4 separate regions of the Mus musculus genome follow, and all the other regions are reported to be linked to region 3. Evidence: microRNA targets listed by miRTarBase, many of them from high-throughput screens and not tested one by one. Region 3 holds a microRNA gene; each other region holds the end of a gene's coding sequence.

Evidence for each region. Region 3 holds the annotated microRNA mmu-miR-290a-5p (ACUCAAACUAUGGGGGCACUUU, at 3,076-3,097, shown strand). A microRNA usually pairs through its seed, bases 2 to 8, with sites in the 3' UTR of a target mRNA and lowers its output. Matches are read on the target gene's strand: a 7mer-m8 pairs with bases 2 to 8, a 7mer-A1 pairs with bases 2 to 7 and ends in A, and an 8mer does both.
Region 1: miRTarBase lists Ppih as a target of mmu-miR-290a-5p. The part of its 3' UTR that is shown has no 7-base or 8-base seed match.
Region 2: miRTarBase lists Xkr8 as a target of mmu-miR-290a-5p. Seed matches in the 3' UTR shown: 7mer-m8 at 2,557-2,563 and 7mer-A1 at 1,585-1,591.
Region 4: the mRNA of Vamp3 is a reported target of mmu-miR-290a-5p. Seed matches in the 3' UTR shown: 7mer-A1 at 2,930-2,936.

The regions. Positions count from the first base shown.
Region 1 is chr4:119,306,776-119,312,581 of GRCm38, reverse strand. Ppih (peptidyl prolyl isomerase H) reads left to right here. Exons shown (of 10, transcript NM_028677.4): 7 at 276-363; 8 at 1,010-1,050; 9 at 1,735-1,823. The coding sequence ends at 1,803. Among named protein-coding and RNA genes, the nearest start is that of Ppih, 11 kb to the left of the region's middle.
Region 2 is chr4:132,724,480-132,730,285 of GRCm38, forward strand. It overlaps Xkr8 (X-linked Kx blood group related 8), which reads right to left. Exons shown (of 3, transcript NM_201368.1): 3 at 425-4,091. The coding sequence ends at 3,376. It overlaps Eya3 (EYA transcriptional coactivator and phosphatase 3), which reads left to right. Exons shown (of 17, transcript NM_210071.2): 17 at 1-286. Among named protein-coding and RNA genes, the nearest start is that of Xkr8, 5.2 kb to the right of the region's middle.
Region 3 is chr7:3,215,564-3,221,369 of GRCm38, forward strand. It overlaps Mir290a (microRNA 290a), which reads left to right and starts at 3,063; the gene lies at 3,063-3,145. It overlaps Mir290b (microRNA 290b), which reads right to left and starts at 3,132; the gene lies at 3,075-3,132. It overlaps D7Ertd143e (DNA segment, Chr 7, ERATO Doi 143, expressed), which reads left to right and starts at 3,221. Exons shown (of 1, transcript NR_028425.1): 1 at 3,221-5,452. Mir291a (microRNA 291a) reads left to right here and starts at 3,356; the gene lies at 3,356-3,437. It also overlaps Mir292, Mir292b, Mir291b, Mir293, Mir294 and Mir295, and 1 more gene. RefSeq lists a cis regulatory region at 1-39.
Region 4 is chr4:151,044,752-151,050,557 of GRCm38, forward strand. Vamp3 (vesicle-associated membrane protein 3) reads right to left here. Exons shown (of 5, transcript NM_009498.4): 4 at 5,244-5,295; 5 at 2,554-4,295. The coding sequence ends at 4,279. It overlaps Gm38529, which reads left to right and starts at 102. Exons shown (of 2, transcript XM_017320565.2): 1 at 102-277.

The DNA of each region.
Region 1 (5,806 bases), not on the chromosome of region 3:
TATCACCCATCTGATGGCCTGAGTTCAGTCCCCAGGACCCATGTGATGGAAGGAGAGACTGGCTCTATAAAACTTTACACTAAGACAACTGTGCATTGATAAAAGAATTTAGATTCTCAGGGGTGGGGACTCTGCATCCTATTCATCCAATGTCCTTGTCTAGGCCTGGGCTCATAATAGGTGCTCGGTTAGGTTGTAGTTAGAGCTTCAGACTTTGTGGGAAATCACCTACAGTGGCCAGAGAAACTTATGTAGGTGTATTTTGTTTCTGTTAGGCAAACAGTGGTCCCAGTACAAATGGCTGCCAGTTCTTTATCACGTGTTCTAAGTGTGATTGGCTGGATGGAAAGCATGTAGTGTTTGGTAAGTCTTACTCCCGTTCCATCGTCTCAGTCACTTGGGCCTGCCACAGAATCCAGTCTCCACACCCACTAGATGTGCTCAGCTGCTGTAGCTACTCTAGGCTAGGGCATGTGGACATGGTGGGGATGGTAGGACAGATGGACATGGTGGGGATGGCAGGACAGATGGACATGGGGATTGGCTAGAACTCGGGAAAAACAAGAGTATCTCTTTTTTTTTATTTATATGAGTACATTGTAGCTGTCTTCAAACACATCAGAAGAGGGCATTGCATCCCATTACAGATGGTTGTGAGCCACTATGTGGTTGCTGGGATTTGAACTCAGGACCTTCGGAAGAACAGTCAGTGCTCTTAACCACTGAGCCATCTCTCCAGCCCGAGTATCTCAATAAGTACTCGTGAAATAAATAATAAATGCCCTAGAGGTAGCATGGAGGAGTGGGCTTGGGGTCACTTATATTCAAGCCTGTACTCGTTCTCTGTGTAGATTCCCCGTGACTTTGGGTGAGTAAGCTCCCTCAGCAAGCCTTAGTCTCCTTGCGTTGTGAGGGGATCTGATGAGATGCTAAGGGAACATGGTCCCTGGGAGCTGGAAAACACTGTGATCACACCAAGAAGGGAGCCTTACTTAATGTTCTTCTGCAGGAAAAATCATTGACGGACTTCTAGTGATGAGGAAGATCGAGGTAGGTCCTGATGGGTGTCCTGAGTCTTTGTGGTCAGGGGTCTCATGCTTATTACCGAGGAGCCAGTTTTCTAGACCATCTGTCCCTGTTCACAGTTCCAGGCTCCTTTGGGAAAGAGAGTTCAAGCTTGGACCCATTCATTAACCTGCCCAGCACTTACTGGGATTTTGGCTCTGATCCTGATGCCCACTGAATAAAATTCCACTTCTTGGCATTGCATTTGGAATCCTTGTGACCTGTACCCTACCTGCCCCTCCGTGACCCCTTCTGCCACTGTCTCCTCTGGTCCGGTGTCATCAAGCTCCTGGCTCTTTTCTAAGGAGGTCCTACAAGTGTGTGCCTCCTGCTCTTCGCACCCTAAGTCTTGGCTCCAACACTTCTCTCTACCTAAAGAATTCCTCCTTGGGATCTTACCTATGGTCCCTGGCCCAGTTCCAATGTCCCTTCTGTGGCTCCCTCTCCGTAAGCTGGATCCCTTCAGTGTTCTTCTAACTTGCATGATCCCATTGTGGGCTGTGGCCTCTCATTGTTCCTCTTCTCCTTGATCTGTTATATTTTACTCTCCGTCAGGACACGCTCCTTACATCAGCCTGATCTTGGACCTTTCCATAGGAGATGAAAGGTTCCATGAGGCACCGGGTAAGTGCCTGAGTGCATTTCATGATCTTGTGCTTTGTTTTCTAGAATGTTCCCACAGGCCCCAACAATAAGCCCAAACTGCCAGTGGTGATCTCACAGTGTGGGGAAATGTAATCTAGACAAGACGGAACCAGGTACGTGTCCTTTTCTTCCTGGCTCGGAAAAGGAGTCATGGCTTGAGGGAGACTTTCTACCCAAAGATGTGGACTGAGTCCATTTCCTCTGCATGTGAGCTGGGCGCAAAGCACTCCTGCAGAACAAGTTTCCTCAACTGTCAAGAGAGGGTGTCAACCTTAGGGTCATTGTGACAAGCAAAAAAGGGTGGATATTGGGAATATTCCCCTTTTTACTGGTTCATACAGTGTCCCCCTGAAAAGGAACCCCTTGCATTGGGACCAACCTGGGGAACCAGGAGATATGTGCTATGCCACCCTCAGAACTGACACTGGCGTCCAGCCTTGGAGGTGTGAGCCTCATATGCCACTTTTTCACTTTTATAGCCCTTCCTCCTAGTACATGCTACTGGCTGCTTTGCACTGGGGCTTTCTGGAAAAGAATTGAGAGGCACTCCCAGGAGAGACGACACGTTCTTAGAGGTGAAAGCTAGTAATGCAAGTGACTTGTGTGCTTAGCACACTAGGGAGCATGGGTCAGTCCACCGCTGGAAGGAGGCCTGGCATTGTGTTTGCCTTGAAATTTTTTTCAAACCTACAAAGATGTTGGGAAAATGTTGATTAGTCACCCACAAGTATGCAGCTAGGGTGACCAGTGATTGACATTTGTGGACTTGCTGTCTCCTCCCTCCGTTCCCATGCCACATCCTCTCCTCCACTGTCTTCTTAACTTCCTGCCCTCAGTACTTTTCTTTCTTATTCCAAAACTACAGACCTCTTGATACTTCACCCCTAAGCACTTCACAATGAGCTGCTAAACAGTGAGAATATTCTAAATAAAATGATATTTGTAATACATGGCACATATACCAGACTACCTTTTAAATCATACAAATCTTATTTGTAGTGCTGGGGACTGAATCCACTTTATGCATTCGAGCAAAGTACACTACCACTGAGCTGCACCCTCAGTCCCACTTTTATAGATGGACACACACACACACACACACACACAGACCCTGGCCAGACATGTTGGTGTACTCCTCTATTCCCAGATACTTGAAAGGCTGAGGCAGGGGGTTCACCTGAGAAGGTTTAGAGAACAGCCTGAGCAAACCCTTCACCAAGTTCCTTGTATTTTCTTCTTTGATTTCTTTCATTTGTTTGTTTTAATGTGTATGACTGTGTAACACTTATATGCCTAGTGTACACAGAAGCCAGAAGAGGATGTCAGATCTCCTGTAGTTATAAGTGTTTGTAGGCTATTGTGTGGGACTTGAACCTGAGTCCTCTGTAAGAATAGCAAATGCTCTTAATCACTGAGGCATCTCTCCAGCCCCTGCCTTGTTTATTTTTAATTACACAGGTAGCACAATACAATTTCCATGTGAAAACTTTTATTTTGTTTTGAAAACTCTCGTTTTTAAAGACATATTTATTAGTTTTTCCTGTATATGTGTGTGAAGCTGTATAATTTTTTTCTTTTGGGTTTTTTTTTTTTTTAGATTTATTTTATTTATATGAGTACATTGTAGCTGTCTTCAAACACATCAGAAGAGGGCATTGCATCCCATTACAGATGGTTGTGAGCCACCATGTGGTTGCTGGGATTTCAACTCAGGACCTCTGGAAGAGCAGTCAGTGTTCTTAACCCCTGAGCCACCTCTCCAGCCCTGTGTGAAAACTTTTAACACCAAAGTAATGATGTAGATGCTGCTCTTCTTCCCAAAAGTCACTTACTTGTCAGTGAGTGTGTTCACCTTTGTTGATCTGTTTTGGGAAAGATTGTTCTTTTTTTTTTTTTTTTTTTTTTTTTTTTTTTTGGTTTTCGAGGCAGGGTTTCTCTGTGTAGCCCTGGCTGTCCTGAAACTCACTCTATAGACCAGGCTGGCCTCAAACTCAGAAATCCGCCTGCCTCTGCCTCCCAAGTGCTGTGATTAAAGGCGTTCACCACCACTGCCCGACTAAGATTGTTCTTAAATGACATCATGCTATAGTATTCCTCTTGCTTTTTTCCCTCCTTTTTATTTTATGTGAGTCTGGGTTGGGGTGTGTGCGTGTGAGTTCACGTACCTCCTTAGTGCTTATCCTAGGAGTAGTCGGCTGCTGAGTGTGAGTACTGGTTCCTCTGGAAGAATGGAAGTGCCACTAACCACTGAACCATCTCTCCACCCATACCTAGTTCTTTGCCTTAGCCTCCTTATTGCTAAGATAAAATATTACCACATCTAACTAGACATTGTGGAGCATGCCTCCAATCCCAGCACTCAGGAGGCAAAAGTTGGCAGGTCTCTGAGTTCGAGGCCAGCCTGGTCTACAGAGTGAGTTCCAGGACAGCCAGAACTACACAGGAAAAAAAAATTATTTATTTATTTTTTAAATTTTAGCCTAATATGGTACTACACATCTGAAAGTCTATAATCCCAGCCAGGGAAAGATGGACAAGAGTCTGACGAGATTAAGGACCATCTGGACTTTAGAATGAATTCAAGGCTAGCCTGGCAACTTAGTGAGACCCTCTGTAAGAGAGGACAGATGAAGCCTGCTTAGGGGCAGATAAAGGTCTGGCTACCAAGCTTGTAGGCCTGAGTTTGCTCTCCAAGACCACATGGGAAAAGAGAGAAGTGGCCCCTGCAGTTTGCTCTCTCACGTGGGTTCCGGCTTCACACAGCCATGTGCACGTGTGCAAAGTAAACAAAGGTCTTTTTTTTAATTGGGGCTGGGTGTGGAGGGTTGTACTTAAAATCTCAGCATTTGGAGGCTAAGGTAAGATTTCCACAAGTTCAAGGTAAGCTGGGGTGCTGCTCAGGACTGCAAAGGACCTACGGGGTAAAGTGGAACTTCTGGTTTCTTTGGAAAGTCAGTTATGTCAATGACATTTTGCTGGGGCACACAGGTGAAAGGATGTTTTCTAAAGCACACACATGGAAGAATGTTTCGCTGAAGCAGACACAAAAAGAAACGCACCAAAAAACTGCTAGTGGTGTTCTGGAGACTTCTGGCTGCTTCAGACTTGAGCCGATTGGCAGAATGATGTCAGCTGATGCTAATTCACGTGGTGTTTGCTGAGGACATGTGATGTTTGGAGGGAGTATGAACAAGGCTCAGTGGACGGTGGTGGTGGGCTTGCATAGCTACCTTTGCAACACGTCTTTGTCTTCACTGATCTTCACTTTGTTGAGAGAGGCACGACAGAGAACTTTGCTTGGCATCCCAGCCGGTCCTGGTCAATCCCGCTGATTCAGCGGAGGTCTGGCTGTTTCTGCTGGGTAGTGCCATTGCTGCTAATTCATGTTTGCTATCCTGACTACTGAACTGGACTGCTGGTATCCTGGCAATTGGAGATTGAAATCTCCCCAAGGAACTTCTTCCAAACCACATACAGCAGAGCCTCTCAGTTTCCTCTGGATGGACCTGCTGTTGCTGATTCTTGTGAAGTGAACTGATGATGGATTTGCTCCAAAGAACTATTTCTAAGCAAGTCCACCTCCCCCGTAACCTAATAACCGTTCCCATTCTTTCTGCTGGGTGGTGAACTGAATAGAAGAAAGGTTAAAGCATTTAAGAAACCTTACTAAAAGTCACTTATTAAAAGCCTACACCAGGGCCTGGTTCTCACTATACTACCTTGTCTAGCCTGTCTCCAACTCATGGAGGTGCCCTGTCTGCCTCGTGCCTGCTGAGATGGAAGGCATGCACCAACATGGCTGCCAGTCTCTTTTTCACATACAGATCTAGTCAAATACCAAACCTCAGTGACTGTGTCATCATCATTTGTGACAGGCATGTGCTCAGAGCATCTGGAATGTATAGGCATTCAGTAAAACTTATGCCTGAGGTGCTGGGGAGAGAATACCAGACATTTTAGGGAGGGGGTCGTGGTGAGCAGTGCTGAGACAGCAAGCACAACTGCATGCTGGGAGCTACATGTGGATCTTTCTTGCCTATACAAATGCTTCCTTCTCAGGCTGAACAGATACCGTGAGCCTTTCTGTCACAATGGG
Region 2 (5,806 bases), not on the chromosome of region 3:
CGGGCCGCTTGCCCTCCCTCTACCCTGAGTCAATTCTAGTGAGCATGGCTCCCTGGCTGCCTCCTCACACTGAGCGGAGCCATCCCAGTTCAGGACCATTTCTACTTGGATCTCCACTCTCCCTCTGGACTCCAGATGCCTCTGTAGCAGGAAAAGGCATCCATGGGTGGGATATATATATTTATGTGACTGCGGGCATTTGTGGCTATAGAGTCCTTGACCATAATGTTATATGTAATGGGAACTATCTTATAAACTTGAAAAAATAAAGTTTTTATTTTCTATACGGTTTTCTCCTTTGTCTTTTCTAAGCCATCCAGGGTCCTTCATCAAGATGTCACCCTTTAACTAACTGAGTCAGTCATTTCACGCACACACAAAGTCATCCTTTGGTCTATCCTGGAAAATAAACAATTGTAAGTTTGCGAGAGAAATGTTTATTTGAATTGTTTCTAAAATACACTGCTTTTTAAGGTATAGAAATGGAATGGATTTCAGAGCTGTCGAGTGTGCTGAACGTTACCAAGGAGGAGTCAGTCTGTGCTGAGCATTAATTAAGCCGCAACCCAATAAATCCTGACTTCCCGTCCCACCAACCAGGTGTTCTACATTCTGCCACATTTGGTCTGATTGGCCCCCACTAGCTTACAAGAGGGCTTTTTACCCATTGTTCCAGTGAAGGAAATTAGAAGTTGTTTCTAGCTTCCAAAGGTGAGATATGTCGGACTCCAAGGTGAATTTTCTCCGGGAAGTGATCTTCTGAGCCGCAGTGCAGCTCAAGTAGACTGTTAGCTGTTGTCCGTACCCCTGCTCAGTCACAAGTGCAGATTCTAGTGTTGGCTGGTTTCCAAACCCTGTAGTGCTTAGACCCCTGACTCCCGGCTGGCCAAGTGTTCCCGGGATTTGTGAATGAGAGACACACACCATCTAACTTTGATATGCTCTGACTAGCTCAGTGGCTGGACGTGTCTAACCCTCCGTGCGACTAGCATACATTCTACCCCCCTAACCTCCCTGAGTCGACTTGCTAAGTCATCATTTCATCTCTGCTGCCCCAGACCCAACTGCGCAGTGAAATCCCTCTGCTTCCAACTCCCCGGGGTTCCTTGCCCTCACAACCTAAAAGTCCCGCCTCTTTCCTGCCCAGCCAGCCCTGGGCAACTTTATTTCCCAATCACAGCCAACTAGTGACAGGCTTCCTTTAGCAGAGCAGATTCCCGTGTGATTCTGGGAGCCGAATTAAGACAGAGCATTAGAACCAATCCCCAACAAACCAAACATCCTAACTACGGGTAATGTCACTAACCTGGTTTTAAGTCCCAGATTTTAAGAACTTAGCACGGTAGTGTTGAAGGAAGGAAGATGTGCTCAGGGTCCTCTCAGACCAGATTGTGTGTCACAAAACAAGAGCAGGGTAGTAACGTCTTTCTTTTTTTAATTTAAAAAAAAAATGTGCCAGGCGTGGTGGCGCATGCCTTTAATCCCAGCACTTGGGAGGCAGAGGCAGGCAGATTTCTGAGTTTGAGGATAGCCTGGTCTACAGAGTGAGTTCCAGGACAGCCAGGGCTACACAGAGAAACCCCGTCTCAAAAAGCCAAATAAATAAATAAATAAAATAATTTCATTTTGTTGGAGACAGGGTCTCATGTAGCCCAAGCTGGCCTCTGACATTGTCACTGAGGAGTCTGAACTCCTGATGTCCTTGCCCAGACTGGTAGGTGTGTCACACTGGCTCATCCCTATCTTACCATTTTCATAAATGAGAGTAACAGTGATTTCAGGTGTGTACCTGTGGGGGCATCTGTTTAGAGGATGACACCTTCTGGTGTGATTACATCCGTTTTTCCATGAGAGTGAACACGGAGGTGGTGACTGTTTTTCAGACCCTTTTAACATCAACAACCACTTTGGCTCCTTTTCCTGGTCTGTAAAATTCAGGTCTGGAAATTAGGTCCTTTCTGTCCATAGTCAGCCTGTACCTTTTAGTATAAGAAGTACCTTCTCCCAGAGCCTCTTCCAGGCCCCCACCTGCATCTCTGCAGCCTCCTTGGCTGTGAGCCAACCGCACCCCACAGTCCTCTTACAGTGGGGTTGCTGTGCCACAGGGAACAGCATTCGCAGATTCCTTCTCCAACAAACCACGCAGACTCCATGCTGCAGTCACTGCTGAAGTAGCTTACAGTCTATGCCTCAGTTTCTCAGAGGGGTCCTCCCCAATGGTTTTTTATAAAGCTGCAACTTCCACCCACAACATACATCCTCCCTCTCACCTCTCCATCTGGTTTTCTTTCAGTACTTGGTGCTTGTTTGGGTCACAGGTTATTTCACGTCCACACAAATAAATGAATGACTGCTAGAACTATCTGGGTCCCAGCACTGGGACCTGGAACCTTTTCTTCTGCCCCTGGAGCCTCTCTCCTGTTCCCTTTTCCCAACAAGACCACAAACCTCCGAGAGCAGAACACGCCACCTCCACGGAGCTATTGACCACATCCCAGAAGCCACTGCACCTCTCACCCAAAAAGAACCCCCAATCCTTTACCTTCCATCCAGCCCCTCAAACCTGCCATCCCCATCCTCAAGTCCTCTTTAGGCTCAGTACGGAGCTGCTAAAAGAATACACTAGCATCTGCCCATGAGTTCTGCTAGCCGAATGATCAACCGGCTCGGGCTCACTAGCCCCTGCGTCTTGGGAAGCAAAATTAAGTCAAACCTATGCCCACATTTGTATGCCAGGGGTCTGTGTCAGTTTTAAGGGGTTCCAGGCGCCTTCTACGTGTCTGTAAAGGGTGATAGACTACACTTAGTGGTACATACTGGTCTGGAGAATCTCATGAGGCTTTAATACTGTTAAACACATGCATATATGTTCTTCCACATAGACTGAGGTAGGAGAATGAAAATACTTACTGGGCATCACATGGCCTAGACCACAGGTCCATAAGGCACTTGGTATAAAGGTGGCCTGAGCATCAGGACACTGGAGGGACATACCTGGCCTCACTGTTTAGGAGTCTACCCAGGATCTGTCCAGGTGGGCAGGGAAAGAAGCTAGAGTGGCAGGCAGTTCAGAAGCCAGGATGGTGTTCCCAGAACATAAAGTGCCTTTAGCATTTGTTGGTTGAAGTGAATGGATGGGATGGGGTAGGGAAGAGTTCTCCCAGAATCTTGTGTCATCTAGAGCGGGCTAGGGAACCAGGAGCCAGGACGCCACCAATCACCTGAGAGGTGAGAACAACAAACAACCGAGTGTTTGCTGACAGCAGTTCCATCGGCTTCAGAAGAAAAAAAATGGCTTGCACATGACTGGCCCGCCTTGTCCCTTGCAAGGCCCCACTCGCATTATCTTCCTCACTGGCTGAATCAGACCCTGCCTCAGAGGACTCCATTCAGCTGCACCTCCTCTGTCAGGACAGCCCGAGCTTTGGCCTTGGCGAAGAAGTTCTCTGCTAACAGGGTGGCACGCCTGTTATAAATCAGCTTAGGAGGACGATGGGGAGAAAGGAGTCCTAGGGTCCCATCCACGAGGTCAGGGTCCCAGCTGCAGCTAGGGTGCAGCCAGAGGTAGTAGATCACACGCAAAGCCAGTCCCAGGAAGAAGCAGGCTCCTCCTATTGTCACCCACATCAGCAATGAGATCCCACTGGGCAGCCAGGTGCCGTGTGTCACCCAGGAGGTGGTGACCAGCAGAACACTGTCACTGAAGATGAAGATCAGGTGGATGACGGCCCGGCCTCGAGTGCGGCCCCCAGACACGTTGAACCAGGAGAAATAGAGGATGAGGGCCATTGTCACCCGGTACAGCCACTCACCTTTGGAGTCAGGCATAAAATTTGTGCCTTGAAGCCAGATCCAGAACAAAAGTACCAGCCACAGGCTGAAGAAATGCAGGGCCACATAGTAGGGGAAGACAGCTGAGAACAAGGCGATGGCACAGATTCTGGGCCCCAGCAGCAGCAGGTTCCACAGGAAGTAGATAGCAGAGGAACTCCGGCCCAGGCGTGGCTTGGAGGGAAGACAGGTACGCAGAGACCGATGGTAATCCAGCAGTGCCCACGAGATGCCAAGAAAGGATGAGCTGATGCCAAACCCTACCATGAGCAAGAAGAGAAAAGTCAGCCTGGGTGCAGCCTGCCTGTCAACCCCCAGACTCGCAGGAACCCTCATAGAAACCCAGAAGCAGGTCTTAAAAGCCCCAGCTTGCTCAATAGACAGTTGGAGAGAAAAGAGGAAACACAAAGAAAAAAAAAGAGAGAGAGAAAAGGAAACACAAAGAAAAAAGAGAAAAAAAAACAGTTGAAGAGGGAGAACATTTCGAGGGGTCAGTGCTCTGCTGTCAAATGCTGTCCCAGTGATATTCTTAAGTATGAGAGGATGTGTGACATGTCTCAGAGCGTAGTAACAGGCCTCCAATTCTAGCTTTCCTCAGGACTGGGAGTGATGGCCAGCCCACCCCTCTTCACTTGCCTCCATGTCCAGCCTAGGCCATTATCTTGACTTTCCAAGATCTAGGTGTTGATGATAGGGTTCGTGTCCCAGCTCTGCACTGCCTAGGGCACCGGGGCCTCCAAGAAGAGAGTAACATTGGCATACCTAACAAAGTGTCTCCTCTCATCTCCTCTAAGGTATCCACTCAGCAGGAGTTTACTGATAACCTACTGCGTCCTCGGAGCCCACTTGTAGCCTGATATCAAAGCTCTATTTATCCCCATCTCTTAACTATTTGCCAACTCCTTACCCTACAAACCCCAGCCCAAATAAATTCTGGGGCTACCCACCCACCTAGATTCCACTCTGCTGTCAGAGGCCTCTGTAACAACCTACCTACCCCATTAACCCAATTACCTCCTTTTTTAGTTTGATGATCCCCACCCCCCACCCCCATCCCCAAGACAAGGTTTCTCTGTGTAGCCCTGGCTGTCCTGAAACTCACTCATTAGACCAGTCTAGCCTAGAAATCAGAGATTCATCTGCCTCTGCCTCCCAAGTGTTGAGATTCAAGGCCTGCACCATGATGGCCTGACCTTTATTCTACCCTCGAGCTCCTGGAGGGTAGAAAACTTATTCTGCTTATCTGGATTCTCCAGGTGGCCCAAAGCATGGTACATAAATGTCTGCTCCATCAAAAGTAGAGAAAAGCCTGTCTCCTCAACAGTGTAGACCATCTCAACCTGACTCTGATCTCAAACAAATGTCAAGTTCCTAGCAAGTGCTGAGAAAGGGCAGCCACCTTTCTGCACACCTCCCTCTTATGTGACATAACATGACGGCAAGTGATGACAAGACAGGTTCCTTGGAGAGCCACTGCAGAATGAGGAATGAAGTGATGGGCAACAGAAAGGGGTGGCCTGGGCTTTCAATAAGGTGTGAGGCAGACCGTTGCTTAGGCTCAGGCTGGGCCCGTGGCCTTGAGGAAGTCTCTCCCAAGGCTTCTCACTGTAAGATTCCTCTGAGGGTTTAGGGGGCCCTGCCACCTGCCTCTTCTGGTCAATTGGTACACCTAGTGTAACTATTTGTTTTAAGGCTACTGGCTGGGTGGAGGATCTGTAGATCTTGTTCACAGCTGCGTCCCCAGCAGAGTGACAAAGAAGAAATGAGTATATGAAGGCACTCTGTGGGGATCAAATGATGTCTTGAGTGGATGTGTATTACCGACGCATGCACAACCATGTCAAGGACGCCATTGCCTCAGTCCCATGGGGATGACAGAGACCCCTGGTCTAAGCATAAATGTTTAGAAACAGCTGTCCTGCCAGGCGTGGTGGCACACGCCTTTAATCCCAGCACTTGGGAGGCAGAGGCAGGC
Region 3 (5,806 bases):
CCAGCTTGGTACAAGCCCATACTCGAGAAAGCAGAGAGAGATGCGTGGATTTCTGTGACTTGGAGGCCAGCCTGGTCTATATAGTGAGTTCCAGGCCTCTCTTGCCTAGCAAGATCCTGTCACAAGAAATAAGCAAGTAAGGAAGTGAGTGAGTGAATAAATAAATAAATAAATAAATAAATAATAAATAAAATTCTTAGGGTTAAGTTAGTGGGGCACTTTGCTTGGTTATGTTCAACACAGTATGAACAGGGAACAGAGTTGCCAAGGCCATCTTGGGAAAGTTGAAGAGAAGCTAAATCAGTAGCTCATCCCAGGCTAGGCTCCTGGCATCCTAGCCTAGAAAGATCCAGTCAGAAAGAAAGAAAGAAAGAGAGAAAGAGAGAGAGAGAGAGAGAGAGAGAGAGAGAGAGAGAGAGAGAGAGAGAGAGAAAGGAAGAAAGAAAGAAAGGAAGGAAGAGAGAGAGAAAGAAAGAAAGAAAGGAAGGAAGGAAGGAAGGAAGGAAGAGAGAGAGAGAGAGAAAGAGAGAGAGAGAGAAAGAAAGAAAGAAAGAAAGAAAGAAAGAAAGAAAGAAAGAAAGAAAGAAAGAAAGAATTATCCTTCTTGTTGCTGCTGTTTGAGGCACAGTTTCACTTGTAGCTGCTTGGCCTACCCATTGCTGGAATTAAAAGAATGTGCCATTATACTTGACCAAACCCATATCTCTATCTGCTTCCCCAAGCCTAAGACCTAGCAAATTGCTGGTGAGGCTTGTTTGTTCAATTAACAAGACATCTAAAGTATATTAAATATGCCTGGAATTAATGACTGAACTGGGCATACTGGTATATGCCTATTCCAGCCCTTGGAAGATTGGAGACAAAGACTTATGAGTCCCCACTAACCAAAGAACACACATGGGCTGGACCTAGGCCTCTTTGCTCACATGTAGCCGAGGTGTAGCTTGACCTTCATGTGAGTCCTAAACAGCTGGAGCAGAGGCTATCCCAAAAGCAGTTGCCTGTCCCGGAGTTATGATGGTCAAACTGGGCTGCTTTGTCTGGCCTCAGTGGGAGAGGAAGCACCTAGCCCCACAGACTGGAAGTGCTGGGGGGGGGGGGGCGACTCAGAGGAGAAGACTGGGGTTGGGGGAAGGATTGTAGAAGGAGGTGACCTGGAGGGGGGCAGTGAGTAGGATGTAGGGTGAATACATTTTTAAAAATTAAATTAATTTTTTAAAAATGTTCCATTACACACACACACACACACACACACACACACACACACACACACAAGGTGTAGACTTAGGAGTCCTAAATTATTCTTGGCTATTTAATGAGCTTATGGCCAGCTTGGCGTACTTGAGCCTTGTCTCCAAAAAACAAACAAACAAACAAACAAACCCTAAACTCCAAGTCTGCAATATGCCTCTGTAGCTTTAGCCCTGCCGCCTGGAGACCTAATTTCAATCCATGGAGCTATTTAAAGATATTTAATAAATAATAATAACAACAACAATAATAATAACAAAAGAAAAACAGCCGGGCATGGTGGCACACGCCTTTAATCCCAGCATTTGGGAGGCAGAGGCAGGCGGATTTCTGAGTTCAAGGCCAGCCTGGTCTACAGAGTGAGTTCCAGGACAGCCAGGGCTACACAGAGAAACCCTGTCTTGAACCCCCTCCCCCCCAAAAAAAACATATTTAAGCATAGGAGAAAACTAACTCTATCATATTGTTCTTGGACCTTCATATTCAGTGTGGGAAAGAAAGAAAGAAAGAAAGAAAGAAAGAAAGAAAGAAAGAAAGAAAGAAAGAAAGAAAGAAAGAAAGAAAGAAAGAAAGAAAGAAAGGTAAAAAAGAGGGAGGATTTGAAACTCTGGATTTAAAAAAAATTCAAACGAAAGAATAAACTGAACCTCCCACATTCTTCCTTTATTTATTTTTATTATTATCTTAATACTGAATGTAGCCCTGCCTAGTCCCGTGCCTAGTCACCATAGTAGACCAAGCTGGCCTTGAACTAACAAAGATCCTCCAGCCTCGGCCTAGAAAACTATAGGATTAAAGGCGCTGCTTCTAGAAACAAACAAAGAAATCTGTTTCCTCTGGGGGGTGGGGGGGAGAAGAAACCAGTGAAGGTCACTCTGCCGCAGGGAAACTCAGCTCAGAGGAAGCAGGGTGGTAGAGTAAGGATTCTCCGGGGTGGGGGAGGGGTATCAGAGCCTCCCAGTCCAGGGGGCCAATGAGCCTTCAGACTATATAAGAACCTAGAGCCTCCCCCACGCCTCTCAGAGACTTCTACTCCACATCGGGAATGCTGGTCTCTGCGGTCTTCAGGGATACCTCCGGCGTGCTGCTTCTCACATAGGCAAAGGTAATATTTTTAGTTTCAGATTTTTTATTTCCTTCAGTTCTGTGGTTTTAATCTACCTGGTTTAGAGAGGCGAAAGTAGATCCAGGATTTCCAGAAGAGAGATCTTCCTGCTTCAACTTTGGAGATGACTAGCCAGGCTGGCCTTTAACTCTCATTTCTGCCTGCCTCTCTGCCTCCAGATTAAAGGTCATCACGGCCATCTTCATTCTACTTTTTAAAAACTAGAGCCCCTTTTTTAAAAGGCAGGCTAGCCGCGAACTCAGCCTTCCTCGCTCGCCCCCACGGTTTGGCTGGGTTTACTAATCCCGAGGCAGAGGCAGGCCCATCTGAGGTTGGTCTGGTCTCCAAAGAAGACATTTAGAACTAATGTGTGTGGAAAAAGAGTTGGGCTTTTTTTTCTGACTTGGTCTACATAATTTCAAGGGAGGAACGAGCCTATGTGGGGAAAGTGAGTAGTCTGGGCGCGAGTGAAGTTTGGGGACCAGAAACCAAAGCTAGGAGTTACTGAGGGCAGGTCTAGGGAGTCTATGCAGTACATTTCATTAACTACGTGGTTTCATTGTAGAAATTTTGAGTTTCACTATACCTTGAGTTAGACCGATGTACTAACTCTTCCTTGATTTCATCCAGGTTTCCTTCAGGTTGGAGTGAATTTTAAGTTCTCCACGTTCTTTCCTCCTGGTAAATGTTTTAACGTCTGGACCGCCTCATCTTGCGGTACTCAAACTATGGGGGCACTTTTTTTTTTCTTTAAAAAGTGCCGCCTAGTTTTAAGCCCCGCCGGTTGAGAAAACGGCTATCTGGCACATTTACCAGCCCTGGTGCCACGTGTTCCGGGTTAACTGCAGCGTGGTGAGTACGGATTCGAAGAAAGGAATGAGACTGAGTATAGCGAAAGGCTAGGGATGGGCATCCTGCCCAGTAGACGGTAACTGAGGTGGTCGTTGTAGGGTACCTGGGGGCTCCATGTGCGTCCTGTCGCTGCTTGGAGCTGTTACACCTATGTAGCGGCCATCAAAGTGGAGGCCCTCTCTTGAGCCTGAATGAGAAAGTGCTTCCACTTTGTGTGCCACTGCATGGGGAAAACATCATAGCTTTGCATCTGACGCATCGGTTTACAGGAGCGGACAACCTGTGTGGGGGTTTAGGCTTGGAGTTTAATGGGTCCTATCCTAAAGAGGGCGGTTCAGTTGGGTGCCACGAGACGCGGATGGATGTAAGGCAGTCGTGAGTCCAGGTGCATTGTAGATTGTTCTTAAGCTTGACCTCCAGCCTGTGATACTCAAACTGGGGGCTCTTTTGGATTTTCATCGGAAGAAAAGTGCCGCCAGGTTTTGAGTGTCACCGGTTGAGAACTCAAAACGGCTAAGAACTAAGAATTAAGTTTTAGTGGGTCATGTTTTCACTGGGGTTGCATTTCTGGGCAGGTGGGTGTCACATGTGGGTTTGAGTCCGAACACTTGGGCGCATGCGGTACTAAAGGCTTTCCGCGTTCATAAAGGAGCCGGGATCCCACATGGGCCTCGCTCGGAGGAGCTGAGCCTCAGGTCTTGGAAGTTGGAACATACAGTGTCGATCAAAGTGGAGGCCCTCTCCGCGGCTTGGCGGGAAAGTGCATCCATTTTGTTTGTCTCTGTGTGTACATGGCGTCTGAAAAGCCGGCTGCAGCTGCAACCTGGAATCGCTTACCTGCTTGAAACAGGTATGTGTGCTGGAGGTGAATTCGTTGCCACTGGCTACTCGAGCTGCAAGGCTGGAGGTGAGGAGGAAGCAGGGCAGGGTGGAAGGAGGCACTCCAGGTCCAGGGGTGGTGAGTCTAAGCCTCAGGTCTGAGTAAAGAAAGGCCTACTTTTAAATCTCACGTGGCCGCCATATTAAGTCCTCTTTCAATTTTTTTCCTTTTTCTCCAAACAGGGTTTCTCTGTAGCCCTGGCTGTCCTGGAGCTAACTCACTTGTAGACCAGCCTGGCCTCAGCTCCATCCACCTGGGATTAAAAGATCCTATATATCTTGCTTGACTACTGTAGTTGCTATATCTTGCTTGACTACTGTAGTTGGACTGATGGTTGTGAGTCTTGATATGGTTGGATTGAATTTTTAGGACCTGCTGGCTGTAGCTGACTTTAACCTGGCTCCTAGCACAAACAAGCTTGGTGGACAGCCGGGTAGATAATACCCATAATACCTTTTGGCTTTACAATAGCCCAGGCTCATGAGGGCTGGGATTACAGGTGTTACATTGTGTGCCCTAAGCATAATCTTCATGGATTCTCTTTGTTTTTCAGGTGTTCCAGTTGAGTTGAATGTAATCCTGCCTAGCCTGGGGTACTTACTTGCCTTCAACCTGCCTGGCTGGCTGGTCTGGCTAAGAACTGACTATAAAGTTTCAGGTTTATTACCACAGCAGGTCCCTGTGGAAATGCTTCAATCTGTGGTACTCAAACTGTGTGACATTTTGTTCTTTGTAAGAAGTGCCGCAGAGTTTGTAGTGTTGCCGATTGAGAAACTGCAGTTGGCCTAAGTGTTGCATCATTTGGGTGTCATCTGTGGGTATGATTCAGTCTGTAATGGGGCAAAAGTAAAAGCTGAGGTGCACGGAACCTCACGGGAAGTGACCCAGATTTGACAGGTACTGTATTACATATAGCTGCATTTATCCTTTTGGCATTGAATAATCCTTAATCTTCAGTTCAGTTGTAGGCATGTTTGGATCTAGCGAAATTCCATATAGCCATACTCAAAATGGAGGCCCTATCTAAGCTTTTAAGTGGAAAGTGCTTCCCTTTTGTGTGTTGCCATGTGGAGAAAGCATCGGAACTTCAATCAACCAGAGACTCCTTGCTTGCTCATCTTGGTGAGACTCAAATGTGGGGCACACTTCTGGACTGTACATAGAAAGTGCTACTACTTTTGAGTCTCTCCTGTGGGCACCATTCACAGGTCGGCTGCTTTCATGCATGTGTAGTGTGTATCTGAATCCAGATGAAGGTTTCCTGGAACTGGGACATGTGGGTGCTATTGAATGAACCAAGGTGCTATGGGAGCAACCAGTGCCCTCAGCCTCCAAACATGAATAATAAAGTCTTGTTCTCTTGATTTTGCTGCTTTCTCAGTTTTTGTTTTAAAACACCCGCCATGGTTCCTAGGGATAAAAAAAGCTTGCAAGCATGCAAGCACCCTTTTAATCACTGGGGTTGAGACTAAAGGTAATCCTGGGCTATACAGAAAAACCCTGTCTGAAAAAATCCCCAAAAGTTAAACCAACACATAGCTGGAAGTGTTTTCAACAGTAATAGGGCACCTTTTGGGAGACACCCCTGTTTGCCTCTTGGGATTTAGGCATGCCACCCCTCCAATGGTTTTAAGGAAGAATTACCCTGTACTAGCTTAAAGGTGCCTTTAAGCATAGCCACATTTAAGCCCACATTTGTTTATATACTGTGAGTCTTT
Region 4 (5,806 bases), not on the chromosome of region 3:
CTGTTACCGGCAACACGAGCTCCCATTGGTCAGAGGGCGGGGTGCAGGTCGTGCACGGCGGGGGTTACATAACCGCGGGCGGGTGGGCGGGTGCAAAGGCCCCCGAGTACCTTACATAACGCGCGGGTCGGGCGAGGGCGGCTCTCGGCCAATCCTGGCCAAGTGGAGTGGCCTGGAAGACAACAGGGCCGGGCCGCGCAAGTCTACTGCCGGGCTTCCCGGAGGCGTGGCCTTGGGGCTGTCAGTCACGGGAGGGCGGGGTCCGCGCAGCCAACAGGTAAGTGGACCCGGTGGCGCTTGTGAGTCCGCAGGCCTCTGGGGCTCCCCGGTATCCCAGGAATGCAGTGCTTTGGGGTTCCCATTGTTTTCATCTTTCCAAAACTTGCTGCTTTCTCCCACCCGCCAATATAGGTGAGTGAACCCAGGTAGAATCCAACCGTATTTTCAGAAATACAAGTTTAATGGTACAAGGTAAGGTCCTTGGCTGCCCTCGAGTTACAGGTTCATTTGGCAACAGGAGTTAGATAGTATTGTAAGCGACGCTCTGTTTTCGAGGAAACAGCCAGGATGCTCCTTTTACATAACTGTCTCTACCCTTCAGAAACGAAAGGTACAGGGCAGAGCTCCAGCCTTCTGCTGCCTGGGTACATCAAGAACACACTCGGTAGTGGGTGGAGAGATGGCACAGCACTTGAGAGTTAAGCACCTACTGCTCTTCCTTTGGATGGTTCCCAGGCATCTTCTATCAGTGTCTCACAAAGTGCCTGTAATTCCAGTTATAGGAGATCCAATGCCCTCATCCATCAAGACACCTGCACAGTGAGCATACGCTATCCAGACATACACCACATAAATAATAAGATCTTTAAAAAAATACACTAAGTATTTGTTGGATGAATGAAAGTGTTCAGGCCAAAGGAGAAGGGGAAAATGCCAGAGAGCAAGTATCCACATTTCATATTGGGCAAATGACCGATTTTTAAAAAAAGTCTTTCTCCACACTGGATTACTCTACTCCTGAGTTCTTCAAGAAACATTCATTGTACGACCATTGGGTGCACATGTGGGCAGGGATTATTGTACTGAGGACAGAACCAAATTCTCTCATACTCAACATACAACACATGGATGATGCCTCAAAGTCAAGAAAGCCTAAGATGCTGGTAGGACATAAACTGGTAGGAATGGGAAGGACAGAGGAAGGAGGCAAGAGCCCCAGGGAACAGGCTGGAGGGTAAGGGAGGGCCGCTGAGAAGGGGAACTGAATCTGAGTGATCCTTTGGGGTGGGGGAAATGGGTGGGCTAACAGAACTGAAAAGCACTGTCCCTTTCAGGCCATCCTTGTGAAGTACAGGTTAGTCATTAAGAACCTGAAGCGAGGGCTAGAAAGACGGCTCAGTGCTTAAGAGCACTGACTGCTCTTCTGAAGGTCCCAAGTTCAAATCCCAGCAATCACATGGTGGCTCACAACAATCAATAATGAGATCTGATGCTCTTCTGGTGTGTCTGAAGACAGCTACAGTTACTTAGATATAATAATAATAAATAAATCTAAAAAAAAAAAAAGAACCTGAAGCAATGGGAGAAAGGAAGGGCCAGATTGTGATGGGGTTTGTGCTTAAGGAAAAGTATTTAGACTTTTATGTTGTAAACATAGACAAAATCCTACCCGGTCTATATTACATTGTTTGCAAGAGTGGGGGAATGAGGGGAAATATATTCAAAGGAAGGCAGATTAAAAAAAAAAAAAAGCCACACATTTGGGACATGCCTCCCCTAAGTTTACCTGTGTGGTTGGTAGCTGTGTGGTGTACCAGGGTCAACTCTACAAATCACTTCCAGAAGACACTATTTAAGAAACCCAATAGCCAAATCCTTACTGGTCTGGTAACTGCAAACCAGCTATGGACTCATCTCTGCTCTGAAAAGCACTTTTCATTAAGGTATATGATGGTTAATTCCAGTTGTCGACTCCATTGTATGTGGAATCAACTAAAAGGCAGCCTGCCAGGTATTCCTGATGGGTTTCCCTGCTCGGAGTATGTAAAGTGGGGAAGATAGGAGAAGGAAGCTCTGCTCTTTGCCTGCAAGCCTTCACTCACAGGCGAGTTAATCTACCCTGCTGTTGCTGCACTCTGATGTTATCAGAACTCAGTATGTTTTCATGGGCTTCCACATGGGCTTCCACATGGGCTTAACACCAGAGATTTTCCAGGAGTCCTCCAGGCCCACAGTACCAGATGGAAACTTCTGAGGAACTCAGCCTCATGGACTAAGCAGCTATCAGGTTCTCAGCATCTTCAGTGTGAGGTAGACCATACCACATAATAAAAATCTTTTAAAAATATATGTTCACCTTATTAGTTCTGTTGCTCTAGAGTCCCCTAACACAGGGTGAGATCTACATCTTCTCACAGGAATATGTGCTCCTAGGATAATGAATAAGAAAAAAACATAGTTTGTCAGGGAGGGAGGGGGAGCATCAAGGGTCAGAAGTTTAGGACATGCATCAGGTGTATTCCCAACTCCACTCCAAGAAACACGACACAGGATCATGTTAATAAACAACTTTATTCTGGTCACCATACCGGGAACATTCCCAGCTAAATGCACAGAGAAGCGAGGTATCACTGTGTTAATACAGGAGCCACTGAGTTACATGGGACAGAATATGAGGAGACAGCACCAAAGTTGTGAGGTCAGACCAGGACAGAAGCCCTAGGCTGATGCGGCAAGGCATATCTTCAACATCTGTATTGTTTCAGTAATGTTAGGGGAACAGATAAAAAACTAGAACCAGTTGGGCGTTGGTGGCACACGCCTTTAATCCCTGCACTTGGGAGGCAGAGGCAGGCGGATTTTTGAGTTCGAGCCAGCCTGGTCTACAAAGTGAGTTCCAGGACAGCAAGGGCTATACAGAGAAACCCTGTCTCAAAAAACAAAACAAAAACAAAAAACTAGAACCAGATTCTATGACATCTTGAGTAATGCTGCTTTACACACAAACACAGATTTCAGGACATTCTAGTGGCACTGCCATAGGCAAGCAGCTTTCCCTTCACCACTTCCTCAATTCCACCCATGCCTGAACTCCTGTCTTTGAACCAAGCCTTGATGAAAGTCTCATATAAACAATGAAACTGTCCCAGACAGCAATGGCTACATTCTAAGAGCACCAGGCATCTCTGGTTAGCTATCCTCTACGAGTGACCGGTGGCTTACCTCAAGCATAAGACAGAGATGAGTACAAGCAGTACACAGTCTTCTGGAACTCTGTGCAGACTGATGCCTTGGTGAGGCTGCACGGCTACTGCTCACATCGCACTAGAGACCACAGCCTAGCTCAGTCTACAAACTGCTGGCTAAGTATCTTGTCTACAGGTGTGATCTGAGCCCACCTCCATAGCTCTAAAGAAGAAACCAAATCAGAATGACTAGCCTTCTCTATAGCATTTCACAGGATGGACTGCCGACATGTTGAAGGCTCGCTCTCACAGTATTAACATTTTTCTTAAAGGACACCTTGAGTTACATTTGGCACTTATTTGAATGTATCTATTGGGGCAATTTATTTGTACTTAACTTTTGGCAAAATAGAAACTTTGGTCATAGTTCTATAAAAACTTCTTAAAGGGTTATTTCTGGTTAAAATACTATTTTAGGAGTGATATACAACAAGAACAAGAAAGTAAACATAGTCATATCTAACATAAGAGCATGAGCTCTTCACCAGCATCTTAAATACAGCGGGAGTCAGTAGTGCTTACAAACGGAGAATAATCTTAAAGAACAGTTTCCTAGCTATCAAAATAAGGCACACCCTGCTATTGTCACCCATTGCTGTTAGGCAGTAGTGTTCTTCTTGGAAGGTCCAAGTTAGGAATCTAATTACCCAAAAGTTTAAAATGTGGTTTTGAAGATGATGTCAGATGTGGGGACAGCTGCCTTGAACAAAACCCCCTTCCTGGAATCCACAACAAGTCATCTTGAGTGACAACATCCACCTCCATTCAGCACTCAGAACTACACAAGTCCTCTTTCCCAGTCCAGAAATCTGTAAAGGCACTGTGCAAAATGTGGGGAGGGTAGGTCACACCTCCAGTTTGGAGTGTATATGAAAAACAAAGGCACATTTTCTAGGCACTAAACTGTATGTAAACTAACAAAAATAATCATTTGGAAAAAAAACAATAGGTAAGCTCGATAACACGGCAGGTTCTAAGTAGAAAGTCTTGAAGAAGATCCTGAATATCGGGCTTCAGTTTCATCGGTTCTTCATTAAGAGACACACCACACTAAGAGGCAGGGAAGATTTAGAAACAATGAAAAGGGCATGTTAGTCTTTGTGTGTGCAAATACTCAGTAGGGATGGACTTCTACTGTCTAAAGAGGGACAGAGAGAAACTGACTTGGCCAGTTTTCCACTGGCAGCTTCTTTACATGCTACAGGGCTCTGGGGAAGACTAAACTCAAAAGTGGAAAAGGAAATACTAACAAGAACTAGCAAAGGAAGGCATGCTTTGCTAGGATGTTCGCATAGACTGGAATGAAAATAAAGTGAGTTCTTCTAATATGCAGTCACAAGAGTGGTGGGAGTAGCTATGTGCTAGCTATATACATTATTTACATAATTACTATTTCTGTTCTCCTATGCCAGGTACTTTCTTATGTAATAACCAGGTTTGTCCTAACAACACAAGGTGGACACCATTACCATCTTCATTTTATTCATGAGGACACTTGAGGTCCAGACAGACCCAACTGCTTGCCCAAAGTCACAGAGCCTTACTACAGGTGGCATAGCTGGGATGGATCAACTCAGCTAATCACTACATTCCACAAAAGGACACAGACTAAAACTGCACAGGAGAGAAAAATTGACCAGACATTAGGAGTGAGATTTGCTATTCTTAAAGGATAAGTGCACCCATCTATCCATCATCCATCTAACAAAACACCAGACTTTAATTACAAAAACTCAAATATTTAGGATCATTTTGGTGGCACAGGCCTATAATCCTAGCGCTTGAAATGTTAAGGCGGAAAGATCACAAGTTCAAGGCCAGCCTGGGTTGAACATCGAGACCCTGCCTCGAGACCCTGCCTCAAACTTCCCGCAATACCATCATCTCAAAACACCCTCAAGTATTTAAAATACTTGATAAAGAACGATATTTAAACCTTGGACTGAATCCACTCTTTGCTGCTGCACAGACGAACGTCTATGACCATGGGTAACTCACCGATGATGATGATGACAATGATCACCAGGACACTGATCCCTATCGCCCACATCTGCAACAAGACAGATCCATTTAACATTGCAAAACAGACAGTGCTCGCCGCAACCGCTACAGTGTGAAATAATTTATATAATTTCTAAAGCCTAAATTTTATATTTTCAGTTAAGTCCTGAAATTTAGTTATGGGCTTTCAGAAGTAGATTCCAATCCTCTGTGACCTCTGAAAACACACACATTTCCACACAGGCTCCTGATCTTGTCCCATTATCTCAGAGTGTCCTTTCTAAACAAAGCATAACAGGAAGTGTGTGAGCTCTAATCACAGACATTCCCATTTGCTAAGTCTGCTTTGGACAATATTCATATGTTGCTTTCTCCTCTTTTTGAACAAGGTGGGATTTCTTAGCATTTAACTTTTTTTTTTTTTTAAAGATTTATTTATTTATTATATGTAATACACTGTAGCTGTCTTCAGACACTCCAGAAGAGGGAGTCAGATCTCGTTACGGATGGTTGTGAGCCACCATGTGGTTGCTGGGATTTGAACTCCTGACCTTCGGAAG